4 linked regions of the Stegostoma tigrinum genome follow. The protein of the gene in region 1 purifies or fractionates together with the protein of each later gene. This does not show direct contact. Links are inferred from orthologs where the notes say so. Each region holds a gene or a part of one and is shown in the gene's direction. Other genes may lie near its edges.

Evidence for each region.
Region 2: the proteins of yap1 (region 1) and rapgef2b purify together in Homo sapiens (affinity purification with mass spectrometry; 3 studies listed by BioGRID and IntAct, with this or other methods). This does not show direct contact. The link is inferred for Stegostoma tigrinum from reciprocal best matches to the Homo sapiens genes YAP1 and RAPGEF2.
Region 3: the proteins of yap1 (region 1) and rassf8b purify together in Homo sapiens (affinity purification with mass spectrometry, with the first as the bait; 3 studies listed by BioGRID). This does not show direct contact. The link is inferred for Stegostoma tigrinum from reciprocal best matches to the Homo sapiens genes YAP1 and RASSF8.
Region 4: the proteins of yap1 (region 1) and amotl1 purify together in Homo sapiens (affinity purification with mass spectrometry; 8 studies listed by BioGRID and IntAct, with this or other methods). This does not show direct contact. The link is inferred for Stegostoma tigrinum from reciprocal best matches to the Homo sapiens genes YAP1 and AMOTL1.

The regions. Positions count from the first base shown.
Region 1 is NC_081359.1:1,795,433-1,803,465, forward strand, and holds the start of yap1 (transcriptional coactivator YAP1), read left to right. Parts: upstream 1-4,304; 5' UTR 4,305-4,569; coding exon 4,570-5,099; intron 5,100-8,033. UniProt on the Homo sapiens protein: Transcriptional regulator with dual roles as a coactivator and corepressor. Critical downstream regulatory target in the Hippo signaling pathway, crucial for organ size control and tumor suppression by restricting proliferation and promoting apoptosis.
Region 2 is NC_081354.1:38,387,498-38,396,026, reverse strand, and holds the start of rapgef2b (rap guanine nucleotide exchange factor 2), read left to right. Parts: upstream 1-5,175; 5' UTR 5,176-5,832; coding exon 5,833-5,901; intron 5,902-8,529. UniProt on the Homo sapiens protein: Functions as a guanine nucleotide exchange factor (GEF), which activates Rap and Ras family of small GTPases by exchanging bound GDP for free GTP in a cAMP-dependent manner.
Region 3 is NC_081378.1:48,631,787-48,640,122, forward strand, and holds the start of rassf8b (ras association domain-containing protein 8b), read left to right. Parts: upstream 1-5,132; 5' UTR 5,133-5,325; intron 5,326-8,336.
Region 4 is NC_081359.1:47,170,170-47,178,099, reverse strand, and holds the start of amotl1 (angiomotin-like protein 1), read left to right. Parts: upstream 1-4,297; 5' UTR 4,298-4,378; intron 4,379-7,930. UniProt on the Homo sapiens protein: Inhibits the Wnt/beta-catenin signaling pathway, probably by recruiting CTNNB1 to recycling endosomes and hence preventing its translocation to the nucleus.

The DNA.
Region 1 (8,033 bases):
ACACTCCAGATTTCTTGGTTGTAGCTCTCCTTTGTATCCCTCAGCCTTAAGGCTTCTGGTCATAAGTTCCTTCCCGGGGAGAGCTAATTTCCTTTCTGGATTTGGTCTAAGCACATAGAGATATGGTTAATTCTTAACTGCTCTTTGAAATTGTGTAACAAACGATTCAATTGTTAGAGATTGTAGATGAAGGCCAGCCTTTCCAATGATGCCCATGTCCTGCAAGAGAATATAGAAAAAAAGCGACCTATTATAATAACAACAAGTGCTGCAAAATCTCAGCAGATCTGGCATCATCCATGGTGAGATAAAAACAAAGTTAATGATTCAAGTCAAATTTGACTCTTCAGAACTGATTCAATTGAGTTCTATGGATGCGCCCCTGAAGTTAAATGGAAAGACTGAAAAACCTGGGGACGTTCTCTTTATAGCAAAGAAGGTTAAGTGGAGATTTCATTGATGTGTTCAAAATTACTAATGCTTTAATAAAATAAATAAGCAAAAACTGTGGCAGAAGACTCAGTAACAAGATAAAATTTCAATATTTGCCAATGATACAAAACTTGCAGATGTGGAAGACAATGAAGAAGATACAAATAAACTGCAACAGGACACAGATAGGTCAGGAGAACAGACAAATACATGGCAGCTGGCAAATGGAATTTAATAGGGAGAAATGAGAAGAAGCCTTTTTAGAGAAGCAATATAAACATTACAATTCCAAACACTGTATAAGAATGTGAAAAGCATGAAGGTTCATATAGATAAATGTTTGAAGGAGGCAGGCATTTTGAGGAAATTAGTTGGAAAAATATGTAGAATCTTGTACTTCATAAATAGAAGTATCACCAGAATGGTTCCAGGAATTAGTTAAGGTGGAGAAACTGGGGTTATGGCCCTCAGTGCAAAAGGGATTGAGGTGAAATTTGATAAGAGGTACACAAGTGTATGACAGGATTAGAAAAGATAGACAAAGGAAAACTGCTCTACCTGATATTGTAGGGAGGATACAGATTTAGGGATTGTGACAAGAGGTGCAGGGGCTTGTGAAAAAAAAACTTTACAATATTGTGAACAGTAATGAGTAGGGCATGCTGTTCAAAAGAACCAGCCCAGGAGCAATGAGTCAAATGGAGACACGACCCAAAATGTCAACTTTCCTGCTCCTCTGATGCTGCCTGACCTGCTGTGTTCCTCCAGCTCCACACTGTATTAACTCTGACTCCAGCAGCTGCAGTTCTTGCTATTTCCTATCAATGAGCCAAATGGTTGTCCTTATTGTCTTTGCCGTATTTTGATTCTATGATTTAAATAGTTCAGGCATGTGTTCTGCAGGACATGGCTCCAATATACTGCAGCATGCTTCCTGCCTAATGTACTTGGGGCTTCAGCATCCATTCGACACAACAGTAACATACAGAAACTTAAAATTTCCAAGCCTTTGTGTCCTTTATTGCAGATTCAGCATTTGCAATCATTTTACAAGCTTTCCTTTATTTGTGAGAGTTAAAATTTAGCAATGCTGGACGATCATGATGATTAAATATAGTACCATAGAAAACAGGAGCAGGAGTAGGCCATTCAGCCTTTGAATCTGCTTCGCCATTCAATATGGTCTCGGCTGATAATCCAACCCAGTATATGTTCCCACTTTCTCTCCATACCCCATGATCCCTTGAGCTCTAAGAAGTTTATCTCATTCGTTCTTGAAAACATTCAATGTTTTGACCTCAGTTACTTGCTGTGACAGAGAATTCCATAGGCTCACCACTCTCTGGCTGAAGGAATTTGTCTTCTCAGTCAAAGCATGAAAGGATAAATAATACAAACAAACGTGAAAAAAATCTGTTATGAAGTTGAAGTTGGGAGTAGAGAATAATTCCAATCATTGCTTTAGTTTTTCCTGATAGCTGTGATTTCTTTGAGTAGTTGTTCCTTTTGAGAGTTTTTCTACCATAATCATTTGTTTCACATCTGTAATGCATGATATCATGTGACCTACACTTTAATTGCAGGTCCAAAACGGCATCCTTTTGAATTTGAGTTATAACTTTGCCTTAGTAACTGATTCATTGTAACCATAAGGAACAGGCTATGATTTAAGGGGGTTATTATTTGGACATGATCATAAAATCACAAGAGACTTTTGGAAAACACAGCTTCATGAAATAATATTGGTGGAAAGCATTTATTAAAATATTTTTAAAACATGATTCGGCAACATCCAACGATCTGGTGCAACAATATTAATGCTTGCCTCTTCCGACAGAAACCGTGTTCCCGTTATACCATTTTTGACCAGGATAAGTTATGGGGCTATAACACATACTAATTTTGCTCTATTTTAAAGAAAGGTGGTAAATAATTCCATTTAGAAATGGGTACATTCCGTATCCGTTGTTGTCTGGAGGGGAGGGGTACAGGGAGTGATTTTTTTTCCCACTTTTGGTCGATCTCACCACTACCAATATGGCCTTGTCCCATCAAGCGAAAACTTTAAAATGTACCAAATGTTGTCATCACGCATCCAAAATAAATCAAATCCACTTTTTGAAACACTTCGTCATATCTGTAATATACAAACGTGAAATGAAACGGTAACAATTGAGAGCAGTCCCCACGGTGATAGATTTTCCCTGATATATTGCCTTGTATTCACCAGCTCCAACTAAAAGATTACAGAAAACACATCTGCCATGTGTGTGGTCTGGGAAGTCGGGCCGGTTAAACATATCTTCAGGGGAACCGCCATTAGCTACCAAAATGATTACTGTCTACAAGGATTTAAGAAAGCTCGGAAAGAGTACGTTTGCAGACTCTTCCTTAATAAAATTACTTTGTTTTATGGCTTGAGATGCGATACAATTCAGGGAAAGGGTGGAGAACTTCAGCCGTTAAACAATGTGATGAAAACTTTCCCTTCCTCAAACTCAAATATTGTGCGGTACGGTGTTCAGAATAATAACAAAACCACAGTTTACGTTTACACTGTTAAAACTTTGGAAAAATCTGTACGTTTATGAGTTTATGCACTTACATCATGGGACGCTTTCTCGCATGTTACCTGCAACTCATGTTTTTTCTGAGCGATTCTATCATTTTCTGTGAAATTGTTGTCCTGACTCGTGCAACGATATTTAACTACCTCGTGTCGAGCCGGTGAGTTAAAAGATAGGGAGACAGGTAAAACCGTGACCTGACCAAAGCATCATGAACAACGAACCACAAATTCTTCACAAGATCTGAAACATTTGAAAGACGGACAGAAAATACAGGAAATACTCAGCAAATCCGGCAGTATCTAGGGACAGAACCAAAGTTAATGTTTCAAGTCGATGATGTTTGACCAGAACAAATACTTACTCGTTTATTATAAAAATAATACATTTCTGTTCTTTTGTTCGGACCAATTTTCACACTTATTCTAATCAATATTTCTAAATTATTCCTCAGCGATTGGGCATTGAGCGGTTTTAATTACCTTTCTTATTGCAATGAGAGAAGATTTTAGGGAGAAAATATAAGGTTTTTTTTCTTTTTGCAGCCTGATTTCAAATATTGCAATGTATCTTTTACTGACTGTACCCTGAATTCATTGCTGCGGGGTTCCTTTCCTATTGAGGGCCTGGAATTCAGGTGCTTTCTGGTTTGTAATGGGTAACAAGGCACAGAGCAGGATCATCAGAATCCCTACATTGCAAAGAGGCCATTTGGCCCAACAAGTCCAGAATCAAATCCCGGTCCCAGGCGCTGTGAAACAGCAGTGCTAGCCACTGAGCCACAATGCCGTCCCAGTGCAGTCTTCACTCTGCCTTTTCAGTCCCGTTTTAAATACACCGTCCCTTATGATAGCACGGAAACCGCCAGTACAGACAGCAACTTCCCAAATGGAGTAGAGTGTAAGTTCGCCCCTTCATGTGGCAAACGTGATGGGATCGCCCTGTGAGGCGGCTGGAAGCAGTGAAGATCACAGATGACAGCGGGGAGGGAGACAGGGAGGCTGGGGAGAGAGAGATGGGGAAAGTGGGGGGAGGGAAGAGAGAGGGAGAAGAGGGAGAGACAGAAGAAGGCAGGGATTGGGGGCGGAGAGGTGAAATCACTGAGGTCGGTACCGTACAAACTGTACCACCGCGGCTGGGTTTGAGGTGAAACCCAATCTAAGTTAAACATTACACTCACAATTCTCCCCCACCCCCCGCCAGGGGCCCGGGAATGGACTCCGCCCCACGTGACGTGAGCGGTCACGTGCGCAGCAGGAAAAGTTGTGAAAGTCGCTGCAAACTTTCCCCGCGGGTGGGGGGGGGGTGGAGGTAAAAAAAAGGGAGTGCGCGCGCCACACACGGCTCTGAGGGAGAGAGCGCGAGCGGGCTCGGGTTCACCGGGCGGGCGGAGAGTTCCAGAAGGTTCCACTCGTGGAGCGCGTCGATGTGGGGCTGGAAAAACCTGCCGTTATCACCGGCCTGAGAGAAACCTCCGGTAGGGAGTGAGGGGGCTGGCTGGCTGACTGAGGGAGGGCACCAGGCGGGTGGCACCGGGACGCGGCAGTACAGGGACAGGCCGGTTTGGCCCATGGATCCGAGTCAGCAGCAGCAGCAGGGAACCGGGACGGGGCCGGGGGCGGCGGTGCCTCGGGCCGGCCACCAGATCGTGCATGTCCGGGGGGACTCGGAGACCGACCTGGAGGCTCTCTTCAACGCCGTGATGAACCCCAAGAACTCGAACGTGCCGCAGTCTGTCCCGATGCGGCTCCGCAAACTTCCCGACTCGTTCTTCAAACAGCCCGAGCCCAAGAGCCACTCCCGCCAGGCTAGCACAGACGGGCCGAATGCTCCGCCGCTGCAACCCCAGCATGTGAGGGCTCACTCGTCGCCGGCCTCCCTCCTCAGCGCCGCCGCTACCGCCGCCGCTCCCCCCGCCTCGGGGTCCTCCGGCTCTTCGGGCTCGGCCTCGCCCGCCGCTGCTGCAGTGTCCCAGGGAAGCGGCTCCTCCCCGGCCTCCGCTCACCTCCGCCAGGCTTCCTATGAGATTCCCGACGATGTACCTCTACCTCCGGGCTGGGAAATGGCGAAAACCCCCTCGGGCCAGCGATACTACTTAAAGTAAGTGATTCCCAGTTTATGTTCTCACCTCCCCCCGCTCCCCTTTTTAAAAAAACAAACCCTGTCCCAGGGATTGGGGGGGGGGGGGTGCAATGTGTTTGTTTCCAATTTAATTTGGGAAAAAGGCCAGCGGATCAAATTGCAACGGTGGGATAATCAGCCCTTGGTCCTCAGGATTGTGTTTGAAGTTTAGGAGTGTAAGTTCAGCCAACATCATTCTCACTTTGAGTGCCATGTTGCTGGGTGAAACTATTTCCAGTGTAACTTTACGTCCCAAATGCCTAAAAGAAATTACTATGTTGTAACTCTCGCCCAGGCATGTGTGTAGTAGTGACAGGATTTGATTCAAATCCGAACTGCTGAATGTGACAGGAACCGAAATCTTTGAACTGCAGCATCGTCGATCCTGGTATCGGAATGTGGTGAAAAGGAGCTGGTTTTGTTGTGGCTTGGTTATAAAGCTGCTCATTTCCCGTGGTGACAGGCGCCTGAACTTTGAAAGTTTGAAGGGAGACCTGAGAGAGTGCAGAAGCCTGCTTGCAATGCGGTGGGCAAAGTTCACGCCCGCCTTCTGCAATCCCGAGTGTTTCATGGTGAACGGGGGCCGTCCTTAAAACTTAAAATAAAATCCATTCACTGAGACAGTTGTCCTTGAGCAGTTAATTCATTTGAATGTGGAGGTGATGTTAAATTTAAATATTTAGTTGCCACCATCGCTGGAATGAGTGGGTTACTGGATGCACTTTGTATTTGACCAGCTTTGTATTTGGCGACACCCGTTCCATGCACTTACCCGGACTTTCAACTTTTACAATGTTTGAGTTTCGTTGATTTCGTATTCCACTAGCTCATTCCAAGATTTCAATCCCACAAAATACCGTTCATGTTTTAAAGTTTCGTTTCGTTTGTGTATTGTAAAAACAAAGTAAATTCATCTTTACGCAGAGAGATGGTTTAACAGTTGATTTTTTTTGAGAAAGACGTGTGATGTTATGGTTTTGAAAGAATAAATAAAAGCAGTGCGATCCGAACACACATTTGTGGAAATAGTTTTCCGTTTGATCCGATTTGAGGGAAGCTGAAATTTGCACAAAGTTTCACCCCCCCCCCGCCTCCCCGCGGCGAGGCTAGGCAGCGAGCAGTATCCATTTCAGAGTGTCCTATTACTTTGGGAACAATAGTACTCTGTCGTGGTCCGACTGTGCAAAAGTCCACATGTCTGGCAAGAGTCACTGCAGTGGGTCCAACGTTTGTTCCCTTGCAGACGGCTAGAGTCAGTTATTGAAGCAACGGCATGTTGACCGGGATGTTTCTTTGAGCAAAAGAGTAACGTGGGAAGTCGGGACAAAACCTGTTTGTAAAGTTTATGCACTTTGTAACCCTTCTCCCGCCTCGCGGGGGGAGGGGTTAATAGTCCCCGGAGGAGCCCGGTGAAGTACAGGCCCTTCGGCCGTCGATGTGGCGCCGATCTGTGAAACCAATCTGAAGCCCATCTAACCTACACTATTCCATTATCATGAACAGTAATATTTCTTGTGCCATGATATCTCACTTCTGGATAGAATTGTGGGAAAATTAAAAATCCATCACATCAAAGACTAAAAGTTCAATCTCATTATTTAAAGATCAGTTAATAACTCTGCATTTACGTAGCACCTGTGACGTTCCTGAAATAATATACGGCCACTAAATTACAACGCAATCAGAAGCAAATACTGCAGATGCTAGTAATGTAAAATGAGTGACCATGTCTTCGATAACATTAAGTACCTCATCACAGACAAACAACCTTGTAGCTGGTGTTTAATTACAACTGAATGGTCTCAAATGGTTACCCTAAATGGCAATTTTTAATTGTTACGGTAACATTTACCGCTGATCTGCCATTCCAATCAGGCCTGACTGCAACAGGTTAATGAGTTGTAAAGTGTGCAAGTTTGCGGGTATACATAGCTCAATGTATTATTGAGTTTTTGCAAGTCGGGTTTACTTCGAACTGTTGCACTAGGTTTTGCCCTTCTTGCTAGCCGTCACATTGTTTACAATTCTCTACAGTCATGTCTTTTAATCAATTCAGATACATCTTAAAACAAATCTTCTCAGCATCTCGATGCACCAACCACTCCAAGTCTAAATATTTAACTTGACTTATTATTGTCATGTATCAAGATACAGTGAAAAGTATTGAAGCTGTGCTTGAATCTGTTGGTACATGTTTTCAAACTTTGACCTTCTGCCCTGCCCAATGGAAGTGTATAACAGGTGGGAGGAGTCTTTGGTTACTTTGGCTGCTTTCCCAAGGCAGTGGGAAGTGTAGACTGAGTTGATGGATGGAAGATGAGATAACAAGGTGTAGAGCTGGATGAAGCAGGCCAAGCAGCATCAGAGGAGCAGGAAAGCTGATGTTTTGGGCCTAGACCCTCCTCCAGAAATCGATGGGTGGAAGATTGGTTTTCATGGTGGACTGGGCTGCGTTCACAACTCTAATTTCTTGTCGTCATTTGCCGTAACAAGTTGTGATGCATCAGCATAGGATGCTTTTTCTATGGAGCATCTGTAAAAATTGGTAAGTATCATTGTGGACATGCTGAATTTCCATAGCTGCCTGAGGAACTAGAGGTGGTGTTGTGCTTTCTTGACTGTAGATACAAATGGATCAGGATAGATTAGTGATACTTACTATGCAGAACTTGAAGCACTGGGACCACCTCCAGCACAGCACCATTGGTACAGACAGGAGCATGTCCTACACTCCAACTTCCTGAAATCAGTCACCAGCTCCTTGAGGGAGAGATTGTTGTCTTGACACTAAGCTGTCCATCATTTCACAAGAGAGATAGTAAGAACTGCCAATGCTGGAGAATCTGAGATAACATGGTGCGAAGCTGGATGAACACAGCGGGTCAAGCAGCATTAGAGGAGCAGGAAAGCTTG
Region 2 (8,529 bases), on another chromosome or scaffold:
TGTACCCTCAGTCACACGCTATGATACAGTGATGATATCATGAGCATGTCTCTTAAAGGTATACTGATATACTGACTGAGAGACATGCAACATGCAGTGCATCACGTGGCACTTCCATATCAATAGCCTACTCACTGATGCTCAGTTTGAGTTCTGCTTGGGCTACTTAACTCCTGACCTCAGTAAAACTTCAATCCAAAAGAGAATCTAATTCTAGAGGTGGGGTGAGGATGACGGCCTTTTACAGTAAGGCAGCATTTGACCATGTGTAGCCTTGAGAATCTCCTTCAAAATTGAAGTAAATAGAAATCAGGGGAAAAGTATTCATTGATTGGAGTCAGGCCTAGCACAAAGCAAGGTAGTTTTGGTTATTAGAAACTAAAAATCTCAGTCACAGGATGCTGTTGCAGAAGTTCCATGTAATAGTATCTTCGGCCCAGTATCTTCAGCTGTTTCATCAGTGATCTTTCTTTCATTGTAAGGTCAGAAGTGGGCAAGTATACTGATGATTGCACATGTTTGACACCATTCAAAACTTCTGTTACTAAAGCAGTAAGCACTACAACAGTCAGACTCAGACTGATAAGTAGCAAGTGGCATTCAAGTCCAACAAGTGCAAGGTAATGAACATCTCAAACAAGGAAGAATCTAACCATTTTCCCTTGACATTTAGTGACATTGCCATAACTGAATCACCACGATCAACGTCCGTAGTATTACTAGTGTCTAGAAACTGAATTGAACCAGCCAAATAAATATTGCATTTACAAAAGTAGAACAAATGCTGGGAATCCTGTCTCCCAGTGTCTATTCACCATTTACAAGGCATAAGACAAGAGTGTGATGAAATTCTCTCTATTTGCCTGAATGAATGGAGCTCCAACAACACTTGAAACTCAACAAATTGTCATTTGATCAGACCCTATCTTAAACATTCACTCTAGGCATCAACAATGGACTGTCGCAACAATGTTACAATATAAGAGATGTATTGTGACAACTTACTAAGGCTTCTTCTCACTCTCAAAGCTAATGACATCACCTAGAAGGACAAGGGCAGCAAATAGGTTAGATGCATGTGAGCACTCCAACTTGCAAGTCTCTCCCCTCCAAGCCACATATGATGTTGACTGCAAACTGTATTTGCTCTTTCACTGTTGTTGCATGAACATTCTGGAACTCCCTTTCATTTTCAATGAATTACAGAAGTTCAAGTACACAGCTCACTGCTACCTTCTCAAGGGTAATTAGGGATAAGCAACAAACGCTGGCCTTGCCAGCACTCCCAGATCCACAAAAGGATAAAAATACTCACCGTATCTAGTCAACCATGTATAAATATTTATATAGTCATAGTCAAAGCCCACAGCACGGAAACAGACCCTTCGGTCCAAGTCATCTATGCTAACTACAGATCCAAATCGGGCCTTGTCCCATTTGCCAGCATTTGGCCCATAGCCCTCTAAACTTTATATTCAAGCCATCCATGTGCCCTTGAATGTTGTAATCACACCTGCCTCCACTGCTCCTTCTGGCAGTTCGTTCCACATATACCCCAGTATCTGATTGAAAACATTACCCCTTTTTAAATCTTGCCCTTCTCACCTCAAACGTATGCCCTCTAGTTTTGAACTCCCCCGCCCAGGAAAAAGACCTTGGTTATCTACCCTATCCATGCCCCTCATGATTTTATATAACTGTGTAAGATTACCTCCAATGCTCCAGGGAAAAGAAAACCCCAGCCTATTTAGCCTCCTTCTACAACTCAAACTTTCTTGTAAATCTTTCCTGTACCCTTTCAAGTTTAACATCCTTCCTATTGAAGGGCAACCAGAATTGTACAGTATTCTAAAATTGGCCTTACCAATTGTGTTGAGTGCTTCCCCTATCCTAATAGCCATCTCTCTCAAAAAATAACCTTTGATAAGCAGATCCAATGCAGGATCAGCTTGCCAGTTCAGATTTTTCACAAATTACAGTAATGAGTGTTTGCCAAGAATGACCTCTGGAAGTCAACTTGCATTCTCATGTATGGAGCAGTTGTTATCATCACACTCCTTTGCTGCAATGAGACCTTGAATGTGTATCGACAACTCATAATAGCACATAATAAATTCCATTACCAAAGCCTCTACTACTTCCCTTGGATTCAATAGGACTATTGTGCAACAAATGCCGCTGTTGATCTTACAGTGTACTCAAATTGTCAGGCAAACCTCTTGTAAAATCAACTTTGATGAACTGGATGCTGTGTCCAGATGGCAAAGTTGGCTCGCAAAAAGGAGCCTGAGCTACATGTTGCCTGCCATTTTAACACACCACCCTGCTCCCTGGCCAACATCTCTGACTCTGGCTTGTTGCAGTGTTCCAACAAAGCTCAATGCAAGCTGGAAGAACAAGACCTTATTTACCCCTTGGGGACGCTGTAGCCCTCCGGATTCAATATGGAGTTCAATAATTTTATGGCCTAAACTCTTCCATGTCCTAGCCCCCTACCCCAAACACCAGGTCTTGTTATCACGTGGCCTGCCATTACATGCTATTTACTGTTAGTCACTAACGGTCTCTATTAACAACAATTCGCCCTTCCAGCCACATGGTATCACCTCCTTTGTCTATCCAACTGCTGTTCTCTCTCTTCAGGCTCTATCCTACCATTTACTCCCTACCCCATCCCCTCCCTATTTTCTGCGTATAAATTGATGTTTTCCCAGCTACCATCAGTTATGGGGAAGGGTCACCGAACCCAAAATGTTAACTCAGATTTTATATTCATAGCTGCTGCCAAAACTGCTGAGCTTTTCCATCAACTTCTGTTTAAGCCCCTGATCGTCCTTTCTTTGCACAATCTATAGAAACAGTAAGATTTGTGTAATAATGATGCTGAAAAGACAAAGCTATTAATTATCTGTCCTAAATTAGTAATTAATTTTGTACTCTTAAACATACACAACACTCATTAAAAAGTGCATCAAGTTCCATTCTTAAAAATCAATTTATCTAATCCTCATTAAATATAGAAATAGTACCAGAGTATCATTGGGTGGAAGTTACTGAAAAGCATCTATAGGGTCAAAATGGACTTCAATTTGGAAAGGTATTGGTTTAATCTTCTGAAGAAGGGCCTCTAGCCTCGATGCTAACTCTCTTTTCTATCCACAAATGCTGCCAGACCTGCCATCTTTTTGTAGAAATTTCTGTTTTTATTTGTTTCAGATCTTCAGCACCTGCAGTTATTGAGTCATAGAGATGAAGAATTTGCACATACATAGATAAAAAGTAAGTATAGTGGGACAAAGCATCACTTCTCTTTTAAAGAGAAAATATGAACACAATATTTTGAATGGCCTCCTATTTTGAAAGTTTCCATTGCTTTCTAAGTAACAAAAGTGGAATAACAATATTAAGAGCTTTAAGTAACTTAATATGACTAAGGAAAAAAGTGATATCTTTAACATCTTGTTAAAATATATAAATCTCATGAATAATTTTGAAAATGAAATAAAGAAATAAACTTATAATGAAGACTTTTTTTAAGTTTCAGATGTAACCTTTGGTCAGAACATTAACAAGACTTTCCTCTTTCCATGCTTAACAGCTTTTGTGTTTTTTCCTTTAACTTTTCCATGGATCAATATGCCACACCATAGGATCCTGTGACGTATTCTTTCATCTTTACGGCATGTGTTGGAATTCTTCCTCTTTACCTTTTAGCTATTTTTTGGAGTAGAGGAGGATCTGAATGAAAAGACAGTTGCATGTTTTTAGGTTAGTTCTTTGCAAGCACAGTTTTATCAAGAGTTTTATTTCCTTTCTTCAGTCTCATGTTGCTGATTTACAGCATCCGTAGTTCTTTTTGTTTTTAATCGAGAACAGGAGCTTCACAGTTTTGAGTTTCCATCAAAAAAACAAATTAAAGTAGGAACCGCAGATGCTGGAGAATCCAAGACAACAAAGTGTGGAGCTGTGCTCCTAAGATGCTGCTTGGCCTGCTGTGTTCATCCAGCTCCACACTTTGTTATCTTAAAAGTAGGAAATGATGTATGGTAAAGGATTATACTTTGTAGTCAGCAGCAAATGATTGGCAATGACCATTCTTTACCATTGCTGGTAGACTTCTTATGATAGATAGCAAATGATAGATGAAAAGAGCCAAAAATTTCCCCATTTACTACAGAAGTTTTGTAAACAGGTAGACAACTGTACACCTCTGCAATAAGCAGGCTCTGAATCAGAAACTGGCATTACAACATTGTACTTTATGTTAAATCAGTTTCAGAAAGCAAACTTAATGAAAATTGGATTGAGAAAAAAGGACTAAAGTAAAATATTTTATTTAATTTTTTCTTCATTTTCAATGAAATTTGGCAACTAAATTGTTTACCTATCTCTTTTTCACTATTGGGAGTTCTAAAAAAAAGTCAAGAATGCAACAGCCTCTGTTCCTCATTTAAATACAAACACATTCAGTGACGGAACCATTTACACAATAGAATACAGCGCAGAATCAGGCCGTTTGGCCCACCAAGCCTGCGTCGATTCCAGTCCTTATTTGGACCCGTTACTTAACGCTTTCTATCCCTCTTTTCACTTTCCATTCAAGTGTCTTGTCAAGATACGCCTTAAACGTTACTAACGTGCCTGCTCTCATCGCCGCCACTGACAGTACATTCAAGGCACCCATCACCATCTATGTGAAAAACTTGCCCCTCTCACCTTGAACCTGTGCCCCCTTGTGGTCTGGAGCATGGATTTTCCTTAGAACCGTAACATCATTGTTGATAGTGCCACACTCATTCCTCTTAATTCATTATTTCTGAATTTCACTAACAGTTTGGCTATTTGTATTTTTAAAAATAAGCTTTTTGTAATTTCATTTATATATATAAACTTCGTAAACAAATGGAACATGTTGAAACCCGCTGTTTTCATAACGATAACGCTGAGTTTAACCCTTGGCGAGAAGCATGAACGTGTCTGCCCTCTTCTCGTTCGACTTTTGCACTTTTAATTTTAACGATTCCATGGTTAGATATAGTCACACCACAGCACCTCGTGATACATCCTGTCATCTTTATGGCATGTGCTGTATGTTCTTTCTCGTTGCCCCTTGGCTGCTTTGGGAGGAGACAACAAATTAAGGCACCATTTTTTTCTGGATGATCTGAGTGAGGAGGCGGTAGAGAGTTTTTGGCCGAGCTTTTAGCGAGAGTTTAGTTGTCATTAGTTTTCGTCCCTCCTCCATCTCCTTTCTGTTTCCAGGAGATTTTCACTTTGTGATGAAACAAAGGGTCCAGTGCAGGTCGTTCGTATCTGATTGAAATTAAACAACAACGAAATAATTTGACATCGACATTTAAACAGCGCTTTGATTAGACAACGCATTTAGAAAGCACTTGTTATTTTCTGGATTATTCCCGAAGCTGTCCAGGACAAGACAACGAGGCGAAATTATTTGTGGTTTAATTATAAAAATAATCCGATGGATTATGAAGCATCCCAAGGAGCTGGATAGAATCGGGTATTACTGCGAAGAGTCGTTGCTTTGTACAGAGTGGGAGCGGCGGGTGCCGCGCGGACGGTTGTGGTTGTCAGGGCAGCTCCGAGTTGGCGTTCACATTCCAGAAGCCGACAGAAGCTTCTGATCGCGGTGACGTCTTTGGGGTTGCTCCAGCTACTTGAGGCCGATCTCGGGCCTGCGCTCTGAGTGCAGACATTCCCAGGCGTCTCTCCCCTCCGAGAATTAGGAAAGTAGCGCTGCCGTAAAGGGAGGCTCGAGTCGACTCGAGGCCCTATTATTTTATAGGCCCGCACCGGGTCGAGGTCGGAACCATGGCGTCTTACGTGGATAATAACTTCAGACAAGCGGTCATGAAGAACCCGGCAGAAAGGACGCAACAGGTATGAACAGTGGGCAAATAATCGCAAGTATCGATGCTTTGGTAATGGGAGTACGGCTCGCATCTGATGGGCACCAGCGGCCCATCTTGCCCACCTCTTTGCTGGGTTGTGGTGATTTCTTTCCCCTCTTGGTTGTGTGTACGATGAAAGATATGTGACTCCCCCCCCCCCCCCGAAGTATAGTAGATTATTTTAATTGTTTTCCGGTTTTTTTTCCTTGCGCATCTCGTTGTGATTTGAGATTCACGTCAAGGAAGATTGTTCCGCTAACAAAGCTCTCTTTGCCCCTGTCACTGTCTCTGTACGGCGTTAAGGGAATTTCTGAAGCATTTCCCCGCTTCTCGAAAAATGTTATTTTTTTCATACTTTTTTTTTGTTATCCTGATCGATCCAACATCCACTTCTGAGAAACGCAGACTTAATTTACCATTTGTACCGTTGAGTTTTTATCATTTCCCAAATTTCTAACGGTGGATTGATGGAGTTTGGGATTGGATGTCAGCACCAGCATCACATTTAAAAATATGCACCTATGTTGTTTCTTATCTGCAATATAAACAAATTTATTTAGTGTGATTTATTTATTTTGATCGGCGACTTTGGATGACCTAAGTTTACCCCTTCTTGTCCGTACTATTTTTTTTAAATGCGACAGTGATCGGAGAACATAATCACATTTATTCGTTATTTATGTATAATCGCGTTTAATAACGAATATTCTTTCTTTTTTCAATCAATTCTGATTTTGGTAGCAGTAGGTTTAGCTTGTGCCCAATTATCCTCTCTTTACTTGTAACTATAATTAAGATTTGAAAGTTTTTTTCACTGTTGCTATGTTCTAGTCGTGAGAGAAATGGTCACGGTTTTATGCATCCACAATTGACAACGGGAATAAGTTGTAAACGTTTTTAAAATGATGAATGAGACTTTGGAAACAGAATAATTAAAGCATGTCTAGTCGCTTATGATAGCGTAATTGTATACAATCCAGGATGAGAATAGTGAAGCTTAATGGAATAAATTATATTTTTACCTTTTGATGCTTTTACTGTGGGAGGTTGACAAGAATCAAACTCACGTAGGCATTTGTAGTCTGAGATCTAGGCATGCGCAGTCATTTGACAGGAACGATATTTATTTATAATTCAGATTTCACTGACCTAGTGTCAGACATGTTATGTAGAGAAGTTTTTAATTTTACACGGAGTTATATTTAATGTGTAATGCTTGTGACCTTTGAGACGTTGTAAAAGATTAGGAGCCAATTTTATAATGTCCTTAGAGTGCACGCTTTGTAGGCCATTTAGCAGTGTTTTGGTAATTATATATGTATGTATACATGTATGTGTTTAAAAATTGCACTTAGTGAAGGGATGTCAGACAAATTCACATGTCCAGAAGTTGTTATAAGTACACTTCCTGGGAATATCTTAAAATCCCTTTTTCATCAATAATGCTTTGCAAAAGATCATTTATTCAAAAAATAATGTCAGTGAATATTTGCACCACTCATCATCTGAACTATTAATTCAACATAACAGTAATATTTCATTCAAAGAAATTTCATTTCATTATCATAGTGTTGTGCTCAGGCTACAGGTGACTTGCAACCAGTTTTGAATGGTTGTAGGTTTACTGAGGAACAACATGCAAAAATATTTTAGTAAGGTGACTATGTAGTGTTAATCACTGAAAATCTATTATTACATGACATGTTGGATAAATACAGTAACCTCAGTTTTTAACATTGTCTTCACAAAAAATGTTAAATTCTTATGACTTGCAATGCAGGATTAATTTATGACATAGTATTCTGGCAGACATTATCTGAATTTTCTCTACAGTATCAGTATCATTGTAAATTATTTTTATTTAAATTGAGGGGATCTAAACTACTTGTGTATTTCTTAAAACTTTGTATCTGTCCATACTTTTTGCAAATTTTTGTGATAAGTTCCAATGTTTATAGTGCAAACTGCCTATGTGAACTGCAATAAGATTCTACCCCACCTCCCCCTACACCTTTGAATCTTCCCTCTGAGCTGTGTTATGTGCAATAACCTGAATGTTCCTGTGCAGTGTGCTCACAACCTGGTCTTTTTTAAGTTTTTATTCTGGATGTGCAGCTCTGCAAAAAACTTACTTGAAGATTACACAAAGCAAATTGCCTTCAATGAATGGTAATGATTCAGATTTATTTTTCCTTGTTCCTCAGCCTGTACTGAGAAGAAACTTCAGTGTTCCAATGAACATCATTTCTTGTTGCATGTTTTTTCTTTTCAACTATATATCATATAAAAGCAAAGTGTTATGTAAAAAGTAAGGCCAGAATGTATGGTTTCATGTCAGCCACTGAATTATGTCTGTGCACCCTGTTTTAACTGACTTACAATCCTTTTGTTCAAGTTTACCTGGCTGACTAAGTAAAATGTCACAGGAGATTACTAATAGTTTAATCGTGATTGTATGTACTAATAGGCAAGGATATAGAATATTTTAATAATCTGACCTTTTTACTCATATGCTTTGATAAAGTCTAATTTTGTTTTAGATTTCATTTTGTGATCTAAAGTCATCAGAACCTTCTGAAATATAAATACAAAATACAATATGATTGCATTTAGAAAA
Region 3 (8,336 bases), on another chromosome or scaffold:
ATGGGCAATAAATGCTGGTCATGAAAGATTAAAATAAATCTTTCCAAACCTCTAGGCAAATCACCTTAATCTGGTTGAGATTATGAGTAAAATGAGGTAGCAGCTGAAAATTAATATCGTCAAGACCAAACCTCCCAATGGAACCATTGTCCCTCAGTTGCTTGATGCTCCTTTAGTTGCCTGCCTAGGTGAGAGAGAGAGAGCTATGCGACCTAGCCCTGCTCTTTCTGAACGTGTAGTCTGTCAGAGGCCAGTGTAACTTCCTTTAGCTGTGATGCTCAGCGGTGCAGTTGATGTCTGAAGTATGACTACCTCCCCTTTATCCTTCCTTCCAGCCCACTCAAATAACGGCAGTCACACCGCACGGCTGCTTTGGGTTTCCTTCTCTACCCAAGGGGTGTTGATCCTTGCAAAGCATTTGCCTCCTCGTGACAGAGTAGGGGCATTTTAAAATTCAGTGAAATGGACTACCCGTGTACCACAGAGAGCTTGTTAGACACAGCCTTGTCTAAAAATAATACCAGTACACGGCAGCTGTATGTGTCACTTAGAATTAGCCCTGTCCTCCAGAATGAGTTGCATTGTTAAATCGAAGTCAGCACATTTACTGACAGCTTGTGATTTTGTAGGAATGGGCGCAGTGCCTGTTAAATATTTAGTTTTCATTATATCTAAAACGTCCTCTTAATCTTACATTGCATTTGTTTCATGTCTGTGATGCTGTTTAATATAAGAAATTACATATATATACTGAAATAAACCTTGCTTCTGTGAATGTGCTGACTGCTTGTCAGAAAATATCCATGGCTATGTTATTATGTTGGGTTCAGTGATTTCTATAAATCCATAAGCTTTCATTGTTGGCACTGTGAGACAAAGGAGCCTTGGGGTTGGCGATAGTGGATGAGAGAGTGCAAATATAGCAGTTATGTTATCAGACCGTAATTCACAGGGCTTTGGGCTCGGAAGTTTTGAGTAAATCTCAACACAGTATTGGAGGAATGCATTTTCAATCGAGTTATCTTTTCAGACTGGATTAAAAATCTTGCCACAATAATGGTGACCAAGAAACTATAGAACAATAGTACAGCATCCATCTCATTCACAGATTTCCTTTAGTGTAGGATAGAAATGTGATATCAAGAAGCATTCAAGAGCATATTGAATGATTATTCAGACAAAAATAATATGTAAGGGTATGGGGGGGGGTGGATTTAAAGCAGGAGATTAGGAGATTGGCATGAGGAAATGAAGCTGGTTTGAAGAGTTGATGCAAGCAGAATGGGCCAAATGGTGTCTGTCTGCATTGTAACACTTTTCAGTGACCCTTACCCAGTCTGGCCTGTACATAATTCCAGACCCATAATAATGTGGTTGGCTTTTAAACTGCCCTCCCCTTTAAAATAGCCTGGCAAGCCAAAGTTAGATTCATCATCATCTGACAATAAGGCGGTGAATGCTGGTCCCATCAGTGACATCTGTTTCCGTGAATGAGTTGGTGGGGGGGCATGGTGTGCTTGGACACACCATGCCCCCCCAGAGTCAGAGGGTGCAGTGAAGACCAAAGCTCCCAATTCGTAATTGTATTAACATACAGTAAAAAGTAAAATAAAGTTGCTGCGCTCCCAATGGGCCCTGGAGCTGCAGCTTCATTAGAAAGAGATTGTGGTGGTTTAACCTGAGAATCACCACTCCTCAGGAAAGGGGTGAGGTTGAGAAGGAAGGCCCTTCATGTTAAAGGTAAAGTCGCTATAGTCCCAGGGGGCGTTAGGGCTGCTGTCTCATTGGACATGGAGTGAGAGACAACTGGCAGTAAGTTTAACCTAAAGGCCACCTTAGGCTAAGGTTAACCTTAAGCTCAGCTGATGTGAACAAGATAGGATGCTCATTGCAAACTTTTTGATAACCTCAGCCTGAGCGGGAATTAGGCCCATGTTATTGGTGTTACTCTGCATTGCGAATCAGCTGTCCGACAACTGAGCTAAATAACCCTTTAACATCCATTGGATATGAGGACATCTTCTCTGATTGTAAACATTGTGAGGGCTCACAAAAGTTTAAAGACTGGTATAAGGATGGCGTGGCCTGGAAAGATGGATTACACTGGTCCTGCGAATCATCTGCAAATCCTTCCAATGCTCCATGTGTGTCTCCCGAGGAAGCGTGCGGAGAAGTGAATAAACACCAACCAAGGATGCAAAGAGTCGCAAATGTTTGGGACTGGTACAAGGAATAAGGTTAAAGGTCACGTGGTTTCTTTCATGTGATAGGTGCGCAAAAACAGAGACTGGTGGCTTTGATTACCCGTCCCATTGTTGCTGTGTTGTTGCTTGGACGGCGTTTATGTTCTGTGCTTCATTCCTTCCTGTGGGAGTATGGGAGTGATAGTTCATTAAGTAGTGAGCTGATTCCTGTTCGCTTTCACAATGGAGGGAGTTGAGTGAGTGAAAAGTTGTACCTTGCAGGGGTTTTCTTGCTGTTTCATAAGGTTGCCACTCACACATTACTGTACCACGGCTTGACAGAATCCCAGATTCCAGAGTGTATAAAAAACAGCTCATCTCCAGCTTTGTGCTGACATCTGTATGTGACCTTCCTGTAGCTGGTTCCCATCGTACAGATCTCCGCTCCGTGGTTTCTGTACCTCATAATCTAAATTATATCCAGTTACAACGTTCTAGGAAAAGCCTTTTAGTACTTTTCCATTGGCCTTGCTTTGTGAACGTTGAAACTCTGTTGTCTGCATCACCTTGCTTGTGTAAAGACTCTGGCAACCTCCTGGTCATGTGCTAGTTGTGTATTTGCACCTTGCCTGCTTATGGCCAGGGGAAGCCCAAGTACAAATTGATCATTATAGATCATTGTCTCAGAGATAATGGGAACTGCGGATGCTGGAGAATTCCAAGATAATAAAATGTGAGGCTGGATGAACACAGCAGGCCAAGCAGCATCTCAGGAGCACAAAAGCTGACGTTTCGGGCCTAGACCCTTCATCAGAGAGGGGGATGGGGAGAGGGTTCTGGAATAAATAGGGAGAGAGGGGGAGGCGGACCGAAGATGGAGAGTAAAGAAGATAGGTGGAGAGAGTGTAGGTGGGGAGGTAGGGAGGGGATAGGTCAGTCCAGGGAAGACGGACAGGTCAAGGAGGTGGGATGAGGTTAGTAGGTAGCTGGGGGTGCGGCTTGGGGTGGGAGGAAGGGATGGGTGAGAGGAAGAGCCGGTTAGGGAGGCAGAGACAGGTTGGACTGATTTTGGGATGCAGTGGGTGGGGGGGAAGAGCTGGGCTGGTTGTGTGGTGCAGTGGGGGGAGGGGACGAACTAGGCTGGTTTAGGGATGCAGTAGGGGAAGGGGAGATTTTGAAACTGGTGAAGTCCACATTGATACCATATGGCTGCAGGGTTCCCAGGCGGAATATGAGTTGCTGTTCCTGCAACCTTCAGGTGGCATCTTTGTGGCAGTGCAGGAGGCCCATGATGGACACGTCATCTAGAGAATGGGAGGGGGAGTGGAAATGGTTTGCAACTGGGAGGTGCAGTTGTTTGTTGCGAACTGAGCGGAGGTGTTCTGCAAAGCGGTCCCCAAGCCTCTGCTTGGTTTCCCCAATGTAGGACCGCTTTGCAGAACACCTCCGCTCAGTTCGCAACAAACAACTGCACCTCCCAGTTGCAAACCATTTCCACTCCCCCTCCCATTCTCTAGATGACATGTCCATCATGGGCCTCCTGCACTGCCACAAAGATGCCACCTGAAGGTTGCAGGAACAGCAACTCATATTCCGCCTGGGAACCCTGCAGCCATATGGTATCAATGTGGACTTCACCAGTTTCAAAATCTCCCCTTCCCCTACTGCATCCCTAAACCAGCCCAGTTCGTCCCCTCCCCCCACTGCACCACACAACCAGCCCAGCTCTTCCCCCCCACCCACTGCATCCCAAAATCAGTCCAACCTGTCTCTGCCTCCCTAACCGGCTCTTCCTCTCACCCATCCCTTCCTCCCACCCCAAGCCGCACCCCCAGCTACCTACTAACCTCATCCCACCTCCTTGACCTGTCCGTCTTCCCTGGACTGACCTATCCCCTCCCTACCTCCCCACCTATACTCTCTCCACCTATCTTCTTTACTCTCCATCTTCGGTCCGCCTCCCCCTCTCTCCCTATTTATTCCAGTTCCCTCTCCCCATCCCCCTCTCTGATGAAGGGTCTAGGCCCGAAACGTCAGCTTTTGTGCTCCTGAGATGCTGCTTGGCCTGCTGTGTTCATCCAGCCTCACATTTTATTATCATAGATCATTGTCTAACGGCTTTGTTTCTCAGAACGACAATTCAGCAATCCTTTGTTATTCTCCCATACATTACACTGCTGTTGGTTTGCAAATGCTATTTCCAGGCAATCAATGTGAGGGAAGAATTTGTGATTTACTGTTTGATGAACATGTCAATGGAAAAACTTGTTGGAATTGTGTCCAAAGATGCTTGGCAGAAATTTGAGCAAAAAAATGTTGTTTTGTATCCCAAGCTAACTCGAATGGTGTTTCCTCCCTTCCTTCTCTCTCTCCCCCGTGCCGCCCTCCCAACCACTTACGTCCTGCAGTGGCTTGTTTGTTTGTGTGCGTTCTCCTATATTCCTGACTGACTACCCCATTTGTACTCAGAGTAACAGATATGGCTAACAATTCAGCAGAGAGTGAGAGGGAGAGAAACTTCTCAATTTAAGAAATCCACATGCCAGACTTTGATTCCCAAGAACATCGCTGAACAAGTTGTCCCCCTGGGGTGTGGGGATGGTGGGGGAGGGAGTGCAGTTGTGACTTTGAAGCCATTCCTTTAGACTCCTGTCAATCAGCAGAGTCCAGGCATTTGAAGCTCAAGAAGCAAACTCTGACCCAGCTCCCACTACAACTAGACTCTGTAGACCTCTCACCGGTGTTTGACTGCAGAAGGGAGATGTAATTCAAAACCCATGATGACCGAAGAGGGTTAACAATGCATTATGTCGACATTTTACTGCTGTAATAGTACTCTGGCATTCTGCACAAACTTCAGGGAGGAAGTTAGTGCAACATGACACCAAAATACATACCACCGTAGCAACCCAGGCAGCAGAGAGAGCCAATATAAGGGCCATGTCAGTTTATTGTATAATGAATCGTGTCAGGACAGGACATGTTGAACACATTTGGAGAGGAGACAAACACAGAAAGACAAACTTTAACCTTCAGAGTGCAATTCATTTCAAAACAGTTTCCAGGATTTGCTGAAGGACTGCTGAAGATGAATGTTAACTCATGGCCTGCTGAGTGAAGTGGAGTCACTCTGAATCCACCGGTTAGTGCTGTGGGACAGATGGTGTGTGTGTGTGTGTGTGTGTGTGTGTGTGTGTGTGTGTGTGTGTGTGTGTGTGTGTGTATGTGTGTGTGTGTGTGTGTGTGTGTGTGTGTGTGTGTGTGTGTCATTCACTCCCAATTAGAGAAAATTTCCTTGTGGAGCCGGTGAGGGACATTAGAGAGCCAATGCTGTTTGTGTCAGTGTTTTGTGGACTGCAACATTCCCTTCTCCATGAGACACTTCCTGCCACCGTTTTGAGTCAGCACAGAGTTATTTTGTGGCAGGAATGGTTTCTCAACCAGAATTACCCAGAGCACTGAAGGCCGTTTGAATGGCCATGCTGAATAGATGTTTCCTTGGGAACTGAGGGCAAGCGAGTTCCTTTGAAATATAGGAGCAGGAGCTGGCCATTTGGCCCTTCAAGCCTGCTCTGTCATTCAATATGATCATAACTGGTCATCCCAGTCAGCCCCCTCTTCCCACTTTCTCCCTGTACGCTTTGATCTCTTTAGCCCTAAGAACTATATCTAACTCTTCTTGAAAACATTCAATGTTTTGGCCTCTGTCACCTTTTGTGAAAGAGAATTCCACAAGACTCTGGGTGAAGAAGTTTCTCCTCATCTCAATCCTAAACTGATTACCCTGTATTCTTAGACTGTGACTCCTGGTTCTGGTCTGCCCAGTCATTAGGAGCATCATTCCCAATTTACACTGTCTAGTCCTGTTAGAATATAATCCTGACTGATCCAGTCTCTCTTTATACTTCAGTCCTGCCAACCCAGGAATCAGTCTGGTAGACCTTTGCTGCACTCCTTCCATAGCCAGGACATCCTTCCTCAGATTAAGGAGACCAAAACTACACACAATACTCCAGCTGTGGTCTCACCAAGAACCTGTACAGTTGCAACAAGACTTCCCTGCTCCTGAGCTCGAATCCTCTCATTACAAAGGCTAACGTTCCATTGTCTTCCCCACTGCCTGCTGCACCTGTATGCATATTTTCAGTGACAAGTGTACTCTCTTTCCCAATTTATCACCATTCAGATAATAACCTACCTTTCTATTTTTGTTACTAAAGTAAAGTAACCTCACGTTTATCTACAGTATGCATCACCTGCCTTGCATTTTCCTGCTCGTCCAACCTTAGCCAAATAACACTGAAACTTGTCTGCATCCTGTCCCACCCAGCTTTGTGAGTGAGATGGTTGAGATTGAGAACTGTGACTGTCTCTATAGGCCAGAGTGTTGGTAACTAGAGGGCACAGGCTTAGGATAAATAGATAAAATTGACATAAGAAGCAGAGGGAAATTGAAAGTTTTTTTGTACATGGACATAGTTGTGGAAAGGAATGTACAGCTTCGAAAGGGCAGTGAAAGCAGATGCGGCCATTCAAAATGAAATTGATTCAGATTAAAAGAGGGAACGTTTTTGAGAGCTGAGGGGAAGGTGCAAGGCAATGGACTAATTGAATAGTTCCTTCAAAGAGTCAGCACAAGCACAGAACGCCTTTCGTTGAGGATGGAATTGAAATATTTCATATTGCTAACAGGAAGAAAGGGTCAAAGCTCAAAGTCTGGGCTGAATGGCCTCCTGTCCTCCAATAATTCCATAAATTGGGCTAGCAAGGAAATGCAGTTTCTGAATTTATCAATGTCCTTTCTTCCAATATCAGAGATGCTCTGTAATATCTTGTATGTCAGCTGTAGCTTGGGGGTACCACTCTTGTCTCATTTCAAAGACTGCGGGTCTGAACACAAAAATTTAGGCAGCTGCTTCAATGTAGTATGAACAAGAGTTCAACTGTTGAAGACGCTATTTCTCAGATGAGATGTAGGGGCAAGGCCCGGTCTGTCTCTTTCTTGAGCACATGTGAAAGACTCTGTGACACCACATTTAAAAATGGCAGGACAAAATGGCAAGCCCGCATATACAGCTATGTCCTAATAAGCTGTTTATTTAGTGATGGAAGGTTGAAAATTGGTCTGGTTGTTGTTAGAACTCACTGCCCTTCTTCAAATCAATGCAAAGGCTCTTTCACATCCCCTTAAAAATTGTAGTTGGGACAGCACGGTAGTTCAATGGTTAGTACTGCTGCCTCACAATGCCATGGACCTGGGCTCGATTCCACCCTCGGGTGACTGCCTGTGTGGAGATTGCACATTCTTCCCGAATCTGTGTGGTTTTCCTATGGGTGCTCCAGTTTCCTACCACAGTCCAAAGATTTGTAGGTTAGGTGGATTGGCCATGGGAAATGCATGTTTATAGGGTAGCATGGTGAGTCTAGTTGGGATGCTTTTCAAAGGTTTATTCTAAATTCAGGCTGAATGGCCTGCTTCCACGCTGTAGGGATTCAATGTACACTACAAGGCCAAGCCAGTGCCTGTGACAGAGCAGCACCCACTCAGCAGTATCCTTGAATGCCAGTCAATGGTGTGCTCTGGGACTTGATTTTGACTCAACTTTGCTGCTACTGAGACATGTTCTTAACATCATTGAGTTGTTGTTGAGATATGCTTGAGTCTACATTTGTAAATCCAATCTGCTTAGGGGAATAAAAAGTCTACAAAACAAACTTGTCATATTTGTCTAATGTCAATACTGGTTGCCATTCTAATCCATCGATGACTAAAGACTTGGGATATGTGTATCTTCAAGATGTGTTGTGCTTTGGAGATTTGTAAGACATTAGCACAGTATAAATTCACTCACCCACTCATCAAGTCAGATGTTAAAACCTAAACAAGTGAGGGATGGTTGAAAGTGCTCAATAAACATGTTTTGGGAATGGAGAGCGTTGGCTTTTGATGTAGGTGTAAGGGAAAGCCAGGAACAGCGTATGGTTTGTGGTGACAGGCAGCCCAATCCAGCTGTGAGCTTTCTCTGTAATTACCACTATTTGGGTTTTCCTTAAAGTCACATGCTTAAATACCCCTGTCAAATTTCTATCCTGGACAGTTTCGCATGTGGGGTAGGTCAAGCTGCAACAGTATATTGAGAAGATTTCTGAAGA
Region 4 (7,930 bases), about 45 Mb from region 1:
CTCTCTCTCTCTCTCTCTCTCTCTCTTCCCCCCCCCCTCTTCTCTCTCTCTCTCTCCCCCCCCCCCCTCTTCTCTCTCTCTCTCTCCCCCCCCCCCCCCCAAGCATGGGGGGGATCACCAGTTTATTTAGATTCCCTTCAGTGTGGAAACAGACCCTTCAGTCCAACAAATCCACACTGACCCTTAGAGCATCCCCCCTCCTAATCTAGGCATCCCTGAATACTATGAGCAATTTAGCATGACAAATCCACCTGCCCTGCACATCTTTGGGCTGTGGGAGGAAACCCATGTAGACATGGGGAGAATGTGCAAACTCCACACAGACACTCGCCCAAAGGTGAAATCAACCCTGGGTTCCTGGCGCTGTGAGGCAGCAGTGCTAACCACTGAGCCACCGTGCTTTGAATCTTCTGAGAGCTACTTCTTGTTCTGTGTTCCATTAGCACAACACTTCCTTAACAGTGAGCTTGTGTAGATGTTCCTATACTGACCATAAATTAGGCAAGAACTTTGCTAAATAATTTACAAAATCAACAAATCCCCTTTTTGTTTTACAAGGGTGGCAAGGATCATCCAGCCAACTACAGGCCATCAATGGGTATGTCAATGGTGGGGAAATAATTTGGGAGGATTCTTCAGGACAGAATTTACTCCCACTTGGAAATAAGTGGGCATATTAGTGAGAGGCAACATGATGTTGTGAAGGGAAGGGTGTGTCCCACTAACTTGGTTGAGTTTTTTTTTGAGGAAGTGATGAAAATGGTTGAGAGTTAGGCAGTGGATGTTGTCTATAATGGTCTTCAGTAAGGCCTTTGACAAGGTCCCTCATTGGCAGGCTGTTACAGAAGGTAAAGTCGCATGGTATGAGAGGTGAGCTTGCAAGATGGACAAAATTGACTCAGTTATAGAAAACAGAGAGGGTAGCAGTATGTTTCTGAATGGAGGGCTATGACTTGTGGCATTCCTCAGAGATCTGTATTGGGATGCTTGCTATTTGTCAGATATTTGTATATAAGTGATTTGGATGTAAATGTGACTAGACTGATTAGTAAGTTTTGCTGATGAGACAAAGGTTGATGGAATTGTGGAGAGTCAAAGGATAGAGCAGGATATAGATCAGTTGATGACTTGGACAGAGAGATGGTAGATGGAGTTTAATCTGGAAAAATATAAAATGCATTTTGGAAGGTCTAATCCAGATGGAAAATGTACAGTAAATGGTAGAACCCTCGAGTACTAATAAGCAGGGTGATCTGGATGTATGGGTACACAAGTCATTGAAAGTGGCAACACAAGTGGAGAAGGTCGTCAACAAGGCATATGGCATGCTTTCCTTCATTGGCTGGGGCAGTGAGTTTAAAAATTGGAAGGTAATGTTGCAGCTTTATAGAACCTTCATTAGGACGTATTCGGAATACTGTGTTTAATTCTGGTTGCTACACTACCAGAAGGATGTGGTGGCTTTGGAGATGGTAGACAAAAGATTTACCAAGATGCTGCATAGTATGGAGGGGATTAGCTATGAGGAGAGGTTGGAGAAACTTGGGTTGTTGTCACTGGAATGACGGAGGTTGAGGGGCGACCTGATAGAAATCTACAAGATTATGCAGGGCATGGACAGTGGACAGTCAGAAGCTTTTTCCCATGGTGGAAGAGTCAGTTACCAGGAAGTTATAGGTTTAAAGTGCGAGGGGCAAGATTTAAAAGTGATGTGTGAGGCAAGCTTTTTACACACAGGGTGGTGGGCACCTGGTACTTGCAGATGATTGATGTCATCATGTCTAGTCCATATTTTGGCAGAAATTGAATGGTGAGTGAACTGTGAATCATGTGCACTTCTGGAAGGGGAGATAGTGGAAGCAGAAACTATAGTGACGTTTAAAGGATGTCTTTACAAAAACATGAATAGGATGGGAATTGAGGGATATGGTCCAAGGAAGGTAAGGAGTTTTAGTAGTGATGGGCAGAATGTTGGTGCAGGCTTGGAGGGCCAAATGGCCTGTTCCTATGCTTTAATTTTCTTAGTTCTGTAACTCCAATGAGTTCCTGGAATGAAGCAGAAGTGCTTTTTAAAAAAAAAAAGGACCAAAGTGGCTGTCCTCATTACAGCATCACGTAATCACTAAAGCCATTTCTTGAATATCATCATGGTCCAAAGACTTGTGACAGCCTGTCAGGAAGGTGGCAGAATTCACTGTATTTAGAGATGGTGCATCCTCTGTCTATGGACCCTTGGTATAGGTTGCTTTTCTTTCCATTTTGGTGACTGCTGACAGGGCCCGGCAGCCATTTTCCAGTTTCTCAACCCAAGGCTGCATCTGCAGGTGGCCAAGAGGTTGCCATTATCCAAATCCCCACAGCTGAATCTATTTCTCTGCCAGGTTTGCTGTGTCATCGCATAACAGGGGGACTCTTCAGTATGAATTGTTACTCTAACACATGCTTTCTCAACATAATCTACCCTGGCACCTCCCAACATTCTCTCAATAGATGCATGTGCCACTTGCCATATGGTATTATTGAGGCTCAATTTGAAATCCTGATTCCTAAACACCCTTCTTGACGCAATATGCTATAGCTGTGATGCCCCAGCTTCCCTACCTGCCCTGATAATTGCCAAGTACAGCATTGAGCTCAGCAGTGGATCCCATTTCTGCTGTAAAACCCACCAGAGCTCAGACTCCCCTTTTGTAAAACTCAAATAAGCTTGCATAGGTCATTTGCTTTGTTTAGCAACCGTGGGTAACTCACTTGCCAGTTTTCCAGAAATGCACATGATTCGCACTTCACTCACCATTCAATTTCTGCCAAAATATGGACCAGGTATGATGACATCAGTCATCTGTGCCAACACCACCCATTTGACTGTATGACCCCTGTCATTGCCCCCATGACCATTCACAATGGGGCTGGGAAACCTCAGCTGAGATGTGAGCATTGAGCATTTATTCAGATCCTGCCCTCCTAAACATTACCTATGCCAGTAAAGTGACTTTCAATTTCATTGCTGCTTTAATGCCAACTTTCCTGAAGCTTGGGATAGCCATGCAGCAGCTGTCAACTCCAGATTGGATGCAATGGCATATGATAGAGCCTCAGTTAAATATGTTCATGATGGTGATGCTTCTCCAAATCAGGATAATCACATGAAAAATAGGGAATTAACATGGCGATGATGAGACATTCTTCTTGAGATTGGATATACAAATGTGTTGCTGAAGTGTATGCATTGTTTACCTTCTCTTGATGCTGATCTTTCCAACCCCACCCACCACCTGGTTCTTATTCCACCTGTTTGTTAATACTGAGGTGCAGATGTTACTAATCCTGTTTTCGTCAGGTTTGCCTATTTTAAGTAGATTGCCTGGAAAACCTGAAATATTGTCCACTGCAGGTCACCTTGGTTAACATCTAAATTCATGATAGGATTGGCATTCCTTCCAAATATATAAAGACCAATCATTGTTTGAATCACCTCTGTGTTAGCATTAAAACAAACTGGAATTCCCTGTTATTCCAATTTTGCGTGACAATATCTGACTTGAAACATTAACTTTCCAATAGGGCAGTGAAACATCTGTGCTACGTGAAGAAAAGACTTTTATATCTGCACAAAAGGAAAGCCTTAGAGGTATTTCCTCATTTACTGTCTTTCTAGTATCTATGTTTGTATCTCCAACAATCATTTGAACTGATTTTAAAGCTGAACATATATAATTATCTATTTGTAAATGCTAGTAAGTGTAAGGTTGTGGCAGCCAATTTCAACAAATTGTTCGATGATGCTTTCACTGGGAACACAAGTGAAAGAATGTGCACTCACCCAACTATCAAAAGCATCCAACGTGTTCAGACATATATTCACGAAGAGAGCTTTGGAGAGCAGATGAAGGGATATGTAATTTCATGTGTATTCTGACATCATTACAAGGCAGCTATCTGATTTTGGGGAAAAAAAATTGCTTGTTAGAATTACTATGCATGAAAGAAACAAGCTTATATCAAATCCGTGAACAGGAAGCTTGATTGTTTTGGAGAAGCTTGAATTATATTTTTTAGAAGACATTTTTATCAGAATATGTTTTCATCCCCACCCTAGTGCAGCATTAGACCCATGAATCATTAAAAGATGTGAGGATGTATTTGGCAATCTAATCACTAGTTAGTTTATACTGGATCAGTATAAACATGCAGTAATACTAACAGATGACAGCAGGTTCAATCAGTGGCAGACACAAGTCCAGACATACTCCTGAAAGAGCCACCCTCAGTTGACTCATGATCGATTACACGAACTCAGAGTTCATTGCTTGTTTCAAATGCTGACGATAGTAAAGTAAGTGTTACTTAATGTTTATCATCAAAAGCGCTACACAAGGTAAGAACATTAAAATGGGGCTTGTTCCTAGACGAATCAACAGATAAAAATTCATTCAATGATCGCTGAATTTTTTTGTTTCTATATGATTTGAAGAAAATGAATTTGTGTATGGTGTCTTCTGATTCTATAATGTTCCTCGTGTCTTTACCTATGAGTGTTATGAGGGTTTTATCAGTCACAGGTCAGATGTACAAGGTGATAAGCACAACATTTAAAAAAGGTTAGAGTTTTAAAATTATTTCGATCAGAATATGGTTTACCTGAAACTATTCTTGGAACCAGCTGTTAAGTGGAATTGTTGCTGCTTAATTGCTACATTACAATGTCAGCTGTATTCATTTTTGGATCCTGCTTGCCTACAGAGATGGCCAAATAACAGTATATAATATGTTAATTTGTAATTTCTTTAATGCTATGTATGCATGTTTTGATCCTTTTTTTCAGGAATAATTTAACAGGACATGTTTAGACCATCTTTTATGCAGCCTGAATTCTGATTGTCTCCATTCTTAAGTTTATCAAGTTATGACAGTGTATTTAACTATGTGAAATATACCATTCCAAAAGCATTCTACTGCAATTTGATGTTTTAATATTTTTGATACTTACTGCTTTGCTGCTTAATAATGACTACCTCCACTCTATCTCAGCCATTGTCAGAGTTCCATGTCGTATTTGATTTATGATTCTAGTATGGCTGTCAACCACACAGTGCTGGCGCGTGTATGCCTGTTCATTACCGATTATGTTAACAATCCTTTTCACAAACTTGCCTTTGCAATTTGTTTTAAATTTGAATTTCATTTAGACTCTACTGGTAACTGTGGCCAGTGAATCAAATCATAAGTATTTAATTAATGGCTAGTAGCATTTATGTATGATTTGGACAATGTAAGAATTGGGTTCAAATAGATTTAAACTTTATTTATTTGTTCGAAACCAATAGATTCATTTGGGAATGAAAATAACTCAATTAATATTCATATACACATATCATCTAGAGACTCTGAAGAAGAGGGTTCAGAGGAGGTTTACCAGGATGCTGCCTGGACTGGAGGGCTTATCTTATGAAGAGAGGTTGACTGAGCTCGGTCTCTTTTCATTGGAGAAAAGGAGGAGGAGAGGGGACCTAATTGAGGTATACAAGATAATGAGAGGCATAGATAGAGTTGATAGCCAGAGACTATTTCCCAGGGCAGAAATGGCTAGCACGAGGGGTCATAGTTTTAAGCTGGTTGGTGGAAAGTATAGAGGGGATGTCAGAGGCAGGTTCTTTACGCAGAGAGTTGTGAGAGCATAGAATGCGTTGCCAGCAGCAGTTGTGGAAGCAAGGTCATTGGGGTCATTTAAGAGACTGCTGGACATGTATATGGTCACAGAAATTTGAGGATGCATACATGAGGATCAATGGTCGGCACAACATTGTGGGCTGAAGGGCCTGTTCTGTGCTGTACTGTTCTATGTTCTATGTTCTAAGTTTGCTTGTGGATAAACATTAGTCAACGAGAGGATCAAAATCTCCAAAAGTCAAAAAATGCCTGTCAAAATGTATAAGCCTTAATTGAATGGTTCCTTGTGGAGTAGAAGAGACAGAATGTAAAATAACTGGTGCCAGCAATGTCATTATTTCCAGAACAAATGAAGTGCCAGTCAACCGTGTCTGGCCCATAGGACGTGTGATAAATCACAGACCTTAGGCAGGATATCCTGCAGTAGTGAGGCCCGGTGGTGAACCAGAAGTATGTTCCAGCATTTGGTTTAAAGGGCTGCCAACCCTGGTTGGAGGCATATTCAGAACCAGAAACTGACTGGCAAACTATCATCATTGAGGCACTAATTGCACAAAATTAAGAGGAGAACATGTAGGCAGAGCATTTGCTATCATCCTGATGATTCTTGTGCCTTCCTAATAGCAAAGATGAAAGTATCCAGTTCCTCATCCAGGGCACCCACCACATCAGATCAAACAAACCTAGAGCGACAAGCAATGAAAGTGGTGAATGTTTGGATGGCCTCTGGCTCAATGATGACTCATTAGATGTTCACCTCTGGACTGTGAATGGCAGAATGTCCACATTCTGCAGAATAGGAACAGGAGGCCTGCACACTCGACCCAGAATGTCTGGATGGAGGTGGCAGAGGAGGTCAGCAGCCATGTGAGGACTTTCCTACTCTGTGAGAAGCTGAACAACCTTCTCTGTTCTGCAAGTTTTGTTCCTGATGTGAGTTCATAACTATGGAAGGGTGTGTGATGATATGCATAGGTAGTGGGGCATGGTGTAATGATTGGGCAGTGACCAGAGCACTTATTCAAGAAGATTTGCACTAGCACAGTGAGGAATGTATGCATCATGTATATTATCCTGTGTTATAGCTTACATGAGAAAGATGTGTGTCCAAAATGCAACAATCTCTTACTCAACTTAATAAGATAAGTGGAGTGTGCATAATCTTCATTTCTTTTCTCACAGGTCAGCCACTAACCCTAGCAGCTACCATCTCTGATATTGACCTCTGAGATGGATTGAACCATTCTAACCTTCCACCAGAATGCATATTGCTGTGGGTAGTAAATTATCATGGGTACAGGAACAGCTAACTAATAGAAGACAGAGTTCGGAATAAGAGAGGGAAGACATTATCAGACTAGCAACCTGTAATTAGCAGTGTGCTGCAGGGTTCAGTGTTAGGGCCACAATTATTTCCACACATTAATTTACCTCATCCAATTCATTAACATATATCACCAAGTTTGTGGATTACATAAAAATAGATGGGAGGATGACACACAGCCTGCAGGTGGACACAGATACGTTAAATGAATGGACAAAAATTTGTGTGAAATGTGAGTTAATGTACTTTGGCAAGAAGAATAAAGAAGCTGACAGTTATTTAAATGGCAAATGACTGTAGAGAGCTAAAACATAGAGGGATTTGGGAGTCCTCATACATGTATTGCAAAAAGCTAGTATACGTTTCAGAACGTGATTGGGAAGGCAAATGCAGTGCTGGTCTTTATTTGAAAATAGTGTCTAGTAAAGGGAATTACTGCTGAAACTCTATAAGAAATAAGTTGGACCACTCCTGGAGTAATGAGAAAACACTGTTCTGGTTGCTTTATCTAAGGAAAGGTGTATTGGCATTGGAGGCAGTCCAAAAAATGTCAATAGATTGGTTCCAGCATGAAGGAAAGGTTGGTAGGCTGGGCCTATATTCACTGGAGTTCAAGAAAATGAGAAGTGACCTTTATTGGAGTGTAGCAAATTACTAAAGAGCTTGACGAGGTAGACGAGGTAGATGAGGTATCTCCTTGTGGGAGAGTCTAGGATCAGATGACGTAACTTCAAAGTGGTTGTTCACTTAAAACAGAGATAATGAGGAATTTCTTCTCTTGGAGGATAATGAAACTGTGGCATGCTTTACAGCAGAGGGCAATAGAAGTTCAGTTGTTAAGTACATTCAAGGCTAAGACAGACAGACGTACAGATATTTAATCCATAATCAAGAGTAATGGGGGAAAGGTAGGAAAGTGGAATTGAAGATTATCAG